Schizosaccharomyces pombe: one gene and its partners. The protein of the gene in region 2 interacts with the protein of the main gene of each other region in a biochemical or structural test. Each region holds a gene or a part of one and is shown on either strand. Other genes may lie near its edges.

Region 1 (3,759 bases), on a different chromosome or scaffold from region 2:
AGTACAATATCATGCTACATCAAAAAATCATATCACGCTAAAATGTCATATAATAAATTAAGTAGCCTCAGTTATACCTTTATGTATTCAACTTCAATGGTTTGACGCTGATCGACGATCCTTACAGGTACATTACAAACAATCAAGGAAACAAAATTTTTAACATGTTGGTAGAAGATGTTTACAAATTCAATAATTGAAACAATTTTTTCTTATTGGGAAGAAGCTTGAAAGACTGGTGTGCAGGTATATCTTAAGGATCTATGAAAAAAAATATATAAGAATCCATCAAAGCAAACGCTCGCAATCTCAAGAGCTTACCAAAATATCATCAATCATACTCCACGATCATGTAAAAAGTTTTAAAAAAAATGTACTCCTAGTCACGAATATGAAATCGTAAAAAAGTAGTATCAGATTCGACCAACAGGATTATTCAAACAGTTCATAAATGCTTTGAGTAAGGAAAGAAAGTAGCTCATAAAAAACGGATGATGGAAAAGAGGTATTACCAAAATAGATGTACTAGAAGGCAACGGAATCAAGCATACAAGCTAACATGGAAGAAATATTGTTGTCTATACATTTCTGAACCTCAGCGTCAAGATGCTTCTTGGGATCTTGTTTACCAACGTATTGAATACGAAGTTGCTCCGGACTTAAAGTCACTTCATTTTGAACACGTTCAGTGTACTGTTCTGACAAGGATTTCATCTTATCAATAGAAGCATGATTTTTTTCCGCAGCAGAATTAAAGTTTTCAAGTAAAAGACCATGTGCCCAAGGCTGTTTGTGTAAATTCAAAAGCATGATCTCTTCAAGCTCAGTTTTTTTGTAATTGATGCGAAGGGAGTAGTAATGTCTTCCTAAACCGTGAATTAAAGCTTGAATGCTAGGTTTGTTGATGTGACCCAAATTGGAAGTTGTTTGTCTGGGTTCCTGACCCATCATTAGGGTAGACGGATTAATCAATCGAAAGGCGTCAATTACCACCTTTCCTTTGACAGATTGAATAGGGTCGACAACAACTGCCACCGCTCTTGGTGTTAATTGCTCAAATGATTGTTGGGTGTTGATATCGACACTAGAAAGCCAACAACCAAAACCCGGGTGAGAATGATACCAACCTACAACCATTTCTGGCCGTCCTGTTTGCTTAAGCATATCCATCATATTTTTTTGGAAAACTGGATCGACTGCTTCTACACTGACACCTGTACCAGATTGAGGCATTGCAAAAACATCAACAACACGTACTGTAAAGTCATCAACGAATTCTCCTAACATCAAACCCATAACTTCCATTGGTGTACCATGTCGCCCATGACGAAGCATTTTTAACAAAGCTAGAGATGAAATGTATACACACTCGGAATTATCAACAAGAGGCTGATCTCCCATCATACCAGTACCCATGCGGGCACCTTGTAACAATCTTTGTAAAGATTCCATCGCGAAAAATATGACTCGTATGTATGTATTGAAATATGAGAGTTTATCAGTATCAGTGGGGTTCCTCTCAAATAACCGCAAATAAAAGTGTAATTGGAGATTAAATGAGAAACTCAGTATAAGTATTTAAATAAAGTTACCAAAACGTTAATGCTGTTCACTGATATTTAGTAAGACGACAAAAACAATCAAAGGTCACTATAATGTGCTTGTTCTTCAAAGGAAGTTCTTTCTATATGTTTCAACCACTATACAAAACGAATATACAAGATTCTATGTCTTTGGTCTCACTTAGGCAGCTAGTATACGTTTACGTGGTAGTTGGCTATAAACAGGTTTTTTCTAGAGACAAATGAATAGCTATAACAATAATGAGGTATAATGCGTATTGTTAAAATAAAATAGTGATTTCATTAGAGTGCGTAATTCATAAAAGAATATGGTAGGTGGATGGAGAAAAACTATGCAGAATAGAGGAGGCATCCATTGCTATTTAAGTATAGCTATTGAGAGAAAAAAGGACGTGTTTTGAAAACTAGCCGGGTCCAATTTTAGGCATGTCAAAATGCTCCGACTGACTTTCCAGTAGTCTATTATACTCATCAATCCTGTCTTTATGTGTTTTCAATCGCTCATTCTTTGCTTTCTGAAGTAATCTTTGTTCCTGAACAGACTCAAAATGTTTCTGTGCTTCCGTCATCGGCATAGCCGAGTCTGTATCCTTTGAGCGAAGCATTTGGTACGTAGATACGCCATTTTCTTCTAAAGGTGATTTATCTCGGGAAGAATGCTCTTGAACTTTTTCAGCAAGTTTTTTAGAATCCTTCTTTTTCTTTTTCAAAGGTTTTTTTTTTACATTTTTCAGTTTTAGAGAACCACCAACGTAGTCCATAGTTCTTGGTAAAGGTAAGTTGGTGTAAGCAAAATGTTTGAACTGTACGATAAGAGGTGAAACAGTTTAATACATTTTACACTAGGAATTGAATTTAAAAATAAAATAAAATAAATATAATTTAATAGTAAAAGTGTAATAAGTAATACAATAAAAGAATTGATGTATGTTGTGCAAGTTTATTAATGGGCTCAATTTAAAAAAAATATGTATATATATGTACAATTTCATTGTACAAGTATACTCTAGAAGCGACGATTATTCATTAAATAAATTATTATTACTTTTTTTTTGGTTAATAATGATACTTGAACCGTTTCTTTTAAGAATTGTAGAAAAAATTGAATATTGAAAAATTGAGTTACTCAATGCTCATCAGAAAAATACGGAAAAACTTATAATCGATATTTTTAAACTGATTTGTTTTTATTAGACTCCTTTTAATTACTTAAAATATTTATTTTTATGAATAAATAAATGCATTTCGACTTGGACTTTAACACATTATACGGTTAAGTACCTTAAAACAGCATAAAAAAATAAATGGCAATGCATCGGGATGGTTTCTCAAATATATTAAGCTTCGGTAAAATGTTGAACCGACATCTAACAAACTCCTTACGCTTACTATTAGCTTATAGTCTGTTATTTAAGATTAACGTACCCTTAATAGAAGTGACATTGACGTTGGACGCGACGCTGATACCTAACCACAGCAAACCTCTTTTTAATGAAAGGAAACAATTGAATTGATTACATTACAATTACTATGAAGGTAAATATATTTTACTTTTTATTTGTCTTACTAAACCCTGTTTTTGTGACCAGTTTCTTGAGCTTGCCGATTTAGATACAGTCAATAATGCCTTATCATTTGATGCCGATGATTGTCGCATACGCGGAAAGTGCGAGCTCTATACAACCAAGGTAAATTTAACTTGTAAGCTTGGTTAGTCTGGTAAAGGGAAAATTGTACATTGGTTCTTGAATTTGACATATGCTTTTAATAATGATCCTCTTTTCTTGCGTGGTCAAATCACTAAGTTGAACAATTTTGGTTCTTTTTGGTCTCTTGTACAAGATCAGCTAATTATATAATCATTGTTTTTTTTTGTGATTATTTATTTAGTTTCTTTACGTTTCAAATCTGAAACCAAAATGATTACGATTGTTGTTTACCAAATGGAGTACCGCGTCTGAGTGTCTGTTTTTAGATTCGGGAGCATTCTGCTTTATTAACTTACCAAGACATGAATATACTGATATATAAAATGTGCTAACAATTTTATAGAGTACAAATTCTGACAAGAAACTCTTTAAAGCTATAGAGAATCGGTGTCAGGAGGATCTATTTGCATTATCGAGTAGTAAATCACCGGAATATGCTTTCAGCCTAACTCAGCAAAGTCCATTTG
Region 2 (3,759 bases):
TTAAAAGAGATACTTAACAAATATAATGGGGTACATACCCAAGAACTTGCAGGTATGCGACGGCGTTTTCATTTAATGACGGCTCCTCCATACTTTATATTTCACATCAAAAGATTTATGAAAAACAATTACTTTACGGAAAGAAACCAAACTATAGTGACATTTCCTTTGGATGATTTTGATATGAGCCCATTTATTGATGACTCATTTATCCAGTCAAATCCGAAAATCTCTACGAAATACAACCTCGTTGCTAATATTATACATGAGTCCGTGACACATGCTGAAGAAGAATTTCATAACTTCCGAATTCAAATTCGAAACCCCTCTACCAATAAATGGTATCAAATTCAAGACTTATATGTTGAAGAAATCAGTAGCGATATGATTCGTTTAGGCGAAAGTTTTATTCAGCTTTGGGAAAGGTCATCATAGTGTTAATATGTGGAATTTTTGGATTTCTCACAAAATTTCCTCTACGTGAGACAAAATTAAAAAACATTCATTTTATTTATCAAACGTTACCGCTTAGAAAATCTTTATTCTATATAAATTAGATTATCCATTTATATTCCCATTTCGTGAGTAGTCAGCAATTACAATGCTCAAATGAAAGGTTTGTAGTATTCTTTGGTATCAAGACACCAGATTGGTCGAGTAATGTATACGAAACTAGATTTTCATAAAGGTAAATTCGTAAACCGTCATGATTTTAGTTAACAAATTGTTAAGCACCTAAGCTTCGACCTTTTGTAGTTTTCCTTTACTTGAATCACCAACAGGCTCACCAAATAATTCTAAGCGAGAAATCTTAGTAGTTTCTTCTTCTCCGACATTCGAATAAATAAAAATAACGAGAGAATTGACACGTTGAAATTTAACAAAACGAAGGGGAATAATTGTAGGTTGATCGTCTTGTTCGTAAACTATATCCTCAATGACTTGAGTTGGAGTAAATGACTCAGCATCTTCAAAAGAAAGATTGTTGGGCTGATTGATGTACAATTTGATGGTTTTTGGAGCACTCGAAGTTTCTCCCTTAACAGGAGTAATTGCAATAGAATGAACCTTTACCACTTCAAGAAAAGGTATGTATATCATTAATTGCTCGTCAACATCCGACTCTAAAAATGAGGAAGGATTACTGTTAAATGCACTTTTCAAATCGTGATCATCTTGTTGATTTAGACATTCCAATTGGGGATTTTCAATGCAGCCTTGCAAGCTAGCAAAACCCTTGACAGGTGCCGATGACGAAGAAGCAAGAGCGCCAGTTCCTGTGGCTTTTGAGGAAATCAAAGCAACTTTTTCCTTCAAAGCTTGTGGGTTTGCTCCAGTTAGCATATCAATTTGTTTGCCATTTTCAAAGAAAACAAATGTAGGCCTAAAATGTTAGCAAAACCAATGGTACAGTGACGGATTAGGTAAACACATACATTGCTTTGACGCCAAGCCCGGAGGCAATTTGACGTTGCTCGTCTACATTTACTTTAGCAAAAACGAATTTGGGGCTAGCATATTTCGATGCTAATTGTGAAAATAAGGGAGAAATTGCTTTGCAAGGACCACACCAATCGGCATAGCAATCAACTGCAAGATATCCGGACTTAGGGATCGTTGAGATCCAGTGCTGGTACGATCTAATTTCAATAACTGACATATGGTTGAGGTTGAGTTCTATAAACCGTCTGCCAATACCATCTCGTACACCACGACCGTTATTAGTAGTGCGTCTAGCCAACGTCGAAAAACATATTTTTTTATTATTGTTTCCTGGAAACTACCTTTGAGTTTGCTATTTAAACATAGAAGTTGATTAATTGACAGTATTATTTACCGCTCATATTAAACTAGCTGTAATTTTATTTAGACTTAATTTGTTATACATGGTTTAAAAACCGGGTTGTTTTAAGCTGTCAGTTGCTTACTGTAGCATCTGAGTCTATTTCTTAGGTGAAATCGAATGAATTCTTTTTTATTGGCACGAGAATGGGGCCAAGGTAATGCAATTGATTATGTGATATAAGGATTTCAAGTCTCACATTTGTAGAGCCAAATAGCTCTTTTCGAAGGCAACTACTGCAGCATCGTCTTCAACGGTTAGCGCTGAATCCGGATGTGAAAATTAAACGTAGACACGGTGCGGGCATTTTAGGATCCGTAAATGCACTAAGCATTGATAATACAATTCATCAGCTGTATGACCTATATCGTTGATTTATCAAAGCTTTCAATTTTTGGTTAACAATTTCTATTGACAGCATGGTCTCTGGAGGAGCCAACTCGTCTATCAATGTTTGGGACCTACAAAATATTGACCAAAAGGAAGATGAAGATTTAATTTTGGATACCTTAAATGCAGTTCCTGCGTAAGCATTCATTTTCTACCTAGTTTATGACAATTTCAATATATACACTAGTGATCAATAGCTAACTTGCGGTGTTTTAGTCGAACGAGTCATAAGTTTGGAATAACAGATTTGCATTGGTTTCCGTTTGATAATGGTATTTTTACTAGCTCGTCGTTCGATCATACGCTCAAGGTTTGGGATGTTTCTACTTTACAGGTAATAAAAGTAGAAATCGCAAATTAACCAATGTTCTAATATTGGTAGGAAGCTTACACTTTTACTATGGAGGACATGATTTATTCACATGCATGGTCGCCCATTGCATCACATTGTTTAATTGCCAGTACGTTATATTCTTCATTCTTGAGATTGTTCATCTAACGATAGCCGCCTACCGGTCTTCGTCTATTCGGCTTTGTGATATGCAAAGTGGTAGTTATACTCATAGTTTGTCTGGACACACGGGTAATGTCCTTGCGGTGGATTGGTGTCCTAAGAATGAATTCGTGTTAGCGTCCGGCTCTGCAGATGGCACTTGCAGACTTTGGGACATTCGTAAAGTATCATCCAGCTTCGCATGTATGGATCTACATAATAAGTATTTACCCAGTAACCAGACAAATATATCTCATTACGGCACCGTTAATGGATTAGCTTGGACTTCAGATGCTCGATATTTGGCAAGTTGTGGTACCGACGATCGAATAAGAGTATGGAATATGGAAAGTGGAAGAAACACATTGAGAGAATTTGGACCTATTATTCATAACCAGACTACTTCCTTCGCGGTACATCCTTGCATGATCCAACCCTCTATGGATTCAGATGTTTTTGTGTTATTCCCCAACGATGATGGGTCTCTTGCCTTATTGAACTTGTTAGAAGGCTCGTTTGTGCGCCGACTTTCAACCCACAGTTTAAAACGTATTAATTGTGCTGCCTATCGTCCTGACTTTGAACAGTGTTTTACTGGTGATATGAATGGGAACATTTACATGTGGTCTCCTAAAGCTCTAAAATCGCCTACGAAGATTTCGGATTTAGAAACAAGACGAAACATAATTCAAGAAGTATACGACTCTTTAATTAATATTCCAGTGACTTATCAATAATTGCTAAGCTTATGTTTCATTTTAACTAAACTTTGACCAACGGAGTTTAGACTTGAGCCATTCCATTGAATATTGCACAATTTTTAGGAAGATAAAGTTTTCTATATTTTATTTATTAGTTTAACTCTACATCATAGTTTGATCCCATAAAGTGACTTTGTCTGTACTTTTTCTTATCAAACATAGGTTGCTTCAGTTTATCATTAAAAGTTAATGTATCTAGAATAAATCTAGAATAGCAAATATAAAACTTTTGAAAGCTATTAATAAGCAACCTTCTCAAAATTACTACAAAC
Region 3 (3,759 bases), 2.1 Mb from region 2:
TTGATCATTTTGGGCAGACTCTTCACGCTCCATTAGAGTTTGTAAAATTGTGCTAGCTACATCGCCGTTGCAAGTACCAACAAAAATAAGACCTAAAGATAATGCGGCTAAGCAGGATAATTGCATAGGGCAATCGGTATCCGTAACAATTGGAGATAACATGTCGAGTAAATCTTCGCGATTAGCTCCACTGTATGCAAGTCCTAAACCTAAAATCGCTGATGCACGAAGCTTTACGGAGCCAGTTTCAAGGTATTCAGAAAGAATTGCCATAGCTGGATCAGCTTCATTTCTTACTGCAACATTTGTAACACCAATTCCCAACAATGCACCAGCCTTGGTATTCTCCTCAGAAGAGTATAAATACTTATCCAACAAAGACAATCCCATGTCAACATTCCATAATTGTAATAGGCCAATAGAAGCTGTAGCACTTATTAAACCAGATTCTTTATTTTTATAAATCCAAGACGTTTTTTCGTCATCGACCAAAATTAATCTGTCGTTACTGTATCCGGCATTGACAAGGGCATTGACAAAAGTGTTAGCTAAATTTTGTTTGGCGGAATACACTCCTGATGCACCCAATCCAGTCCTAGCCACTTCTAAATGTGTTTTAAAGATATCTTCCGGAACTTTAGGATCCATAAGGTTCAACTCCTTTCCTAGATAATGAAAGTGATCAGATAAATGAGTGTTATTTAAAGCATCGTTTAACTCCTCGTCTCCCATATCCATAGGTATTTGCTGACGAGCAAGCATGTAAGACATTTGCTTTTTCAACAAGGGATCCGTAGCAGCTTCACAGTCTTCTTTTATCAAAGACATATCATCAAGGCGGATAGCAACGTTAAGTGCTTGTGTAAGCTGGTCAAACTTCCGATAAATAGCATGCGCTGTTCTTAACATGGCGACATCTTCAGGAAATGGCAAAAGATTAACGCAACTGGTAATATAAAGACAAACGCGAGAAGCATTATCAAGTTCTACGAAGGGTACAACTTTTTCAATAGCACCCAATTCTTGTAATAAATCAATAGCATCAGCCTCAGCATTATGAGTAAGGAAGAATGGAACAATGGTCAATGCAAGTTCCATAAGATCGTCGGTTGGCGCTTCCTCTTCCTGGCGACTGGCAAACTCTTCTTCTATTTCGGAAGCCAAATGGCGAACATACTCATGACCCCATAAAGAAGGATCAGTGGTAACGCCCTGAAGACGATATTTTAATGATTCATGTTTGCTTGTATTACTATAGGACATTCCTAATACTGAAAGGATATCAGCAAGTTGAGTCTTCTGAGGGCTTTGCGGCCAGGAATCATAGATTTTAACGAGAGTAAAATAATGTGGTCTAAGAAACTTCAAAGGCTTTGGAACGGCCGTCATAGAGGAGGTAGAAGTACGAATTATTTCTTTAAGCTGAGTGAGACTGGAACCCACCAACTCAGGGGTGGCATCTTGAACAGCTTGAACTAATAATTCCAAATCATTTTTTAATTGTAAATCTTCTTCAGACTATTTGGTTAGTTTTCATTTTGAAAAATAATAGGGCTTTAACTTACTAAATCCTCTAATTCATCCCTTTCTTTGGTATTGTTCGTTGAGTTTCTGTCATTAGTTTCTGAAGTCTTTGTCCCTTTTTTGTCATTTAATGCATCATTACCACTCGGGGACTTCGAACTAATGTCTTTAGAACTCATTTTCTAGATTCCTAAGATTTTCTGAAACTGAGTAGTAATGTGTTGTCGTTGAAACTACTCTCACCCTAGTCAGAACCAGTATACCGATTGTTTACGTATTTGATTATTTATCACGTTAATTAGATTTAACAACACGCTATGCTTTCTTTATGGATCAGTACAAATGAAAAAATAATCTATTATTTAAGTTCGTCAATGTATTACCATTATTACACGATGCTTGACATTATTATCTCATGCCTCTTTTCTTATAAGAATTGTTGTAAAATAACTCGTTATTGATTGACTCTTTATGTTTTCATTTGTTTAAATACGGACATATGAAACCGATTTATATCACTACACCTAATTACCATAGTTATAGCTTGATTTTTAATAACATGACACGCTCTAAGATTTTGAATTCTAAAATTAAAGGCTGTAATGGTCAAAGAATTTTCGAGTTTAAATTAACAAAAAAATGCAAATGATAAAATAATGAAAACAAACGAATAGTTTTATATAGTACATCCATAAACGTTGCCGACTAATTTTCCATCTTACACACATGAACACCATAAAAGCTTGTATAAGTATACTAAACCAGTATAGGCAAATTCAATGCCAACCGCGGGATCGAGTTGTATCAGTAAAAGATTCATTGCTTTCACTTCCTTGAAACATTGTACGTAAATGATAATAATTTTCATGAGTTTCATGGTCTTCCACTGAATCTTCATTAATCATAGAAACAGATTGATCTAACATGGAATTCCAATTTTTATTTTGTTTCAATTCTGCTGCACCTCGTATTTCGTCCAAAGATAAACGATGTTCCGCCGAATTACCAAGTGCCTTTAAAGAAGGATAATAAGATTCAGCATCCATAAAGTAATGAGGTTTTAATTTAGAGATAAAAGACGACTTTCTTACTCTCACCGGCGGCATGTCCATCGGCAATTTTGCTGATGCATCAATTTCTTCGTTCGGTGAATAATCTCTGAAGGATTCTGTTTCATAAGCCATAAGACCTTGTTTCTGCCGTCTAAGGCTACCTGAAAGAATCGTAGCTATCCGATCGTCATAATCTTCCGATGTAATATCTAATTTTGGATCAACGGCGACATCAGGCTGAATTAACTCTTCATCCCTATCTTCAGCGAAGAAGACATCGAGGCTATGAAGAGTTGTAACTAGCTCTCCTAGTGAATTTTCGTCAAGCGAACCATGACTGTCAGTAGGAACGTGTCGCGGATAATTGGATACTTCATCAGCATGAAATCTAACCTCTGGCGTACTCACAGAAGCCTCGGTAGTGGAACAGCTATAAAATACGGCATGTACGTTGCTTTTAGTTATAGCAGCTGCATATTCAGAGTTTGGTTCATACCATCCATCCTCGTCAGGTATTTCAAAAAATCCAGCCAGACGATCATCTGAATTTTTTAATTTAGGGTCAACCATTAATAACTTTAAGGTTTGCATATCTGTGGGAGCAGATACATGAAGCACTGAGTCGGTTAGCAAAGACAACGCTTCCATTGCATAACCAGTAGGTAAGAGTCGAAGAAGCGGTGAAACAATACCTAATCCATGTTCGGAATATATAGGTTTTTGGAAATCAATTAATGGAAAGAGTTCTTTTAACACATCTAACGTAGACTTTCTAAACCAAGTCAAATTATTTGATAGAAACATCGTAAGAGTACTAACAATTTCTAGCTCGTAATCTTCAAAATAATAGGAGTATAGGTATGAAACCGTATGTTTTAAAAAATCCTTAATTGACCTGAATTTACGTTTGAGATATGTGTCAAGAAGCTCAATCAATGCATCATCGTTAAATTGTGAAGCAAGAGTAGCTAATTTATGACAGAAAACACTTAAATCAAAAGTAATAGGATCTGAATGCTCGTATGTATATACCATCGCTGGTAATGACACCAACAAGCAGGATAGTATCCTCAAATAACCAACGCCAACCAAATCATTATCCTTGAAATCCATCAGCAAAAGGAAAAAATTCATGGTAATTTCAAAAGAATTAGTTGAACGGAAACCTTTTAATATTAAAATC

The links.
Region 1: the proteins of txl1 (region 2) and rpn11 form a complex in vitro, tested with the Schizosaccharomyces pombe proteins (one study listed by BioGRID).
Region 3: the proteins of txl1 (region 2) and mts4 form a complex in vitro, tested with the Schizosaccharomyces pombe proteins (one study listed by BioGRID).

Annotation. Positions count from the first base shown.
Region 1 is NC_003424.3:3,008,672-3,012,430, reverse strand, and holds rpn11 (19S proteasome regulatory subunit, ubiquitin-specific protease subunit Rpn11), read right to left. Parts: upstream 1,786-3,759; 5' UTR 1,453-1,785; coding exon 526-1,452; 3' UTR 124-525; downstream 1-123. Other genes in the region: SPOM_SPAC31G5.21 (FAM32A family protein), read right to left, coding at 1,988-2,344; RNA polymerase III-inhibiting protein Maf1, read left to right, coding at 3,114-3,119, 3,173-3,271, 3,636-3,759. UniProt on the Schizosaccharomyces pombe protein: Acts as a regulatory subunit of the 26 proteasome which is involved in the ATP-dependent degradation of ubiquitinated proteins.
Region 2 is NC_003423.3:765,819-769,577, forward strand, and holds txl1 (thioredoxin-1-like protein Txl1), read right to left. Parts: upstream 1,673-3,759; 5' UTR 1,661-1,672; coding exon 1,437-1,660; intron 1,385-1,436; coding exon 736-1,384; 3' UTR 534-735; downstream 1-533. Other genes in the region: ubiquitin C-terminal hydrolase Ubp10, read left to right, coding at 1-435; DNA repair ERCC8 family protein ckn1, read left to right, coding at 1,964-2,000, 2,051-2,198, 2,262-2,369, 2,450-2,567, 2,616-2,694, 2,739-3,463. UniProt on the Schizosaccharomyces pombe protein: Has a role in cellular detoxification of alkyl hydroperoxide.
Region 3 is NC_003423.3:2,852,350-2,856,108, forward strand, and holds the start of mts4 (19S proteasome regulatory subunit Rpn1/Mts4), read right to left. Parts: upstream 1,754-3,759; 5' UTR 1,704-1,753; coding exon 1,566-1,703; exon of another isoform or gene 1,519-1,565; coding exon 1-1,518. Other genes in the region: morphogenesis protein Mor2, read right to left, coding at 2,301-3,759. UniProt on the Schizosaccharomyces pombe protein: Acts as a regulatory subunit of the 26 proteasome which is involved in the ATP-dependent degradation of ubiquitinated proteins.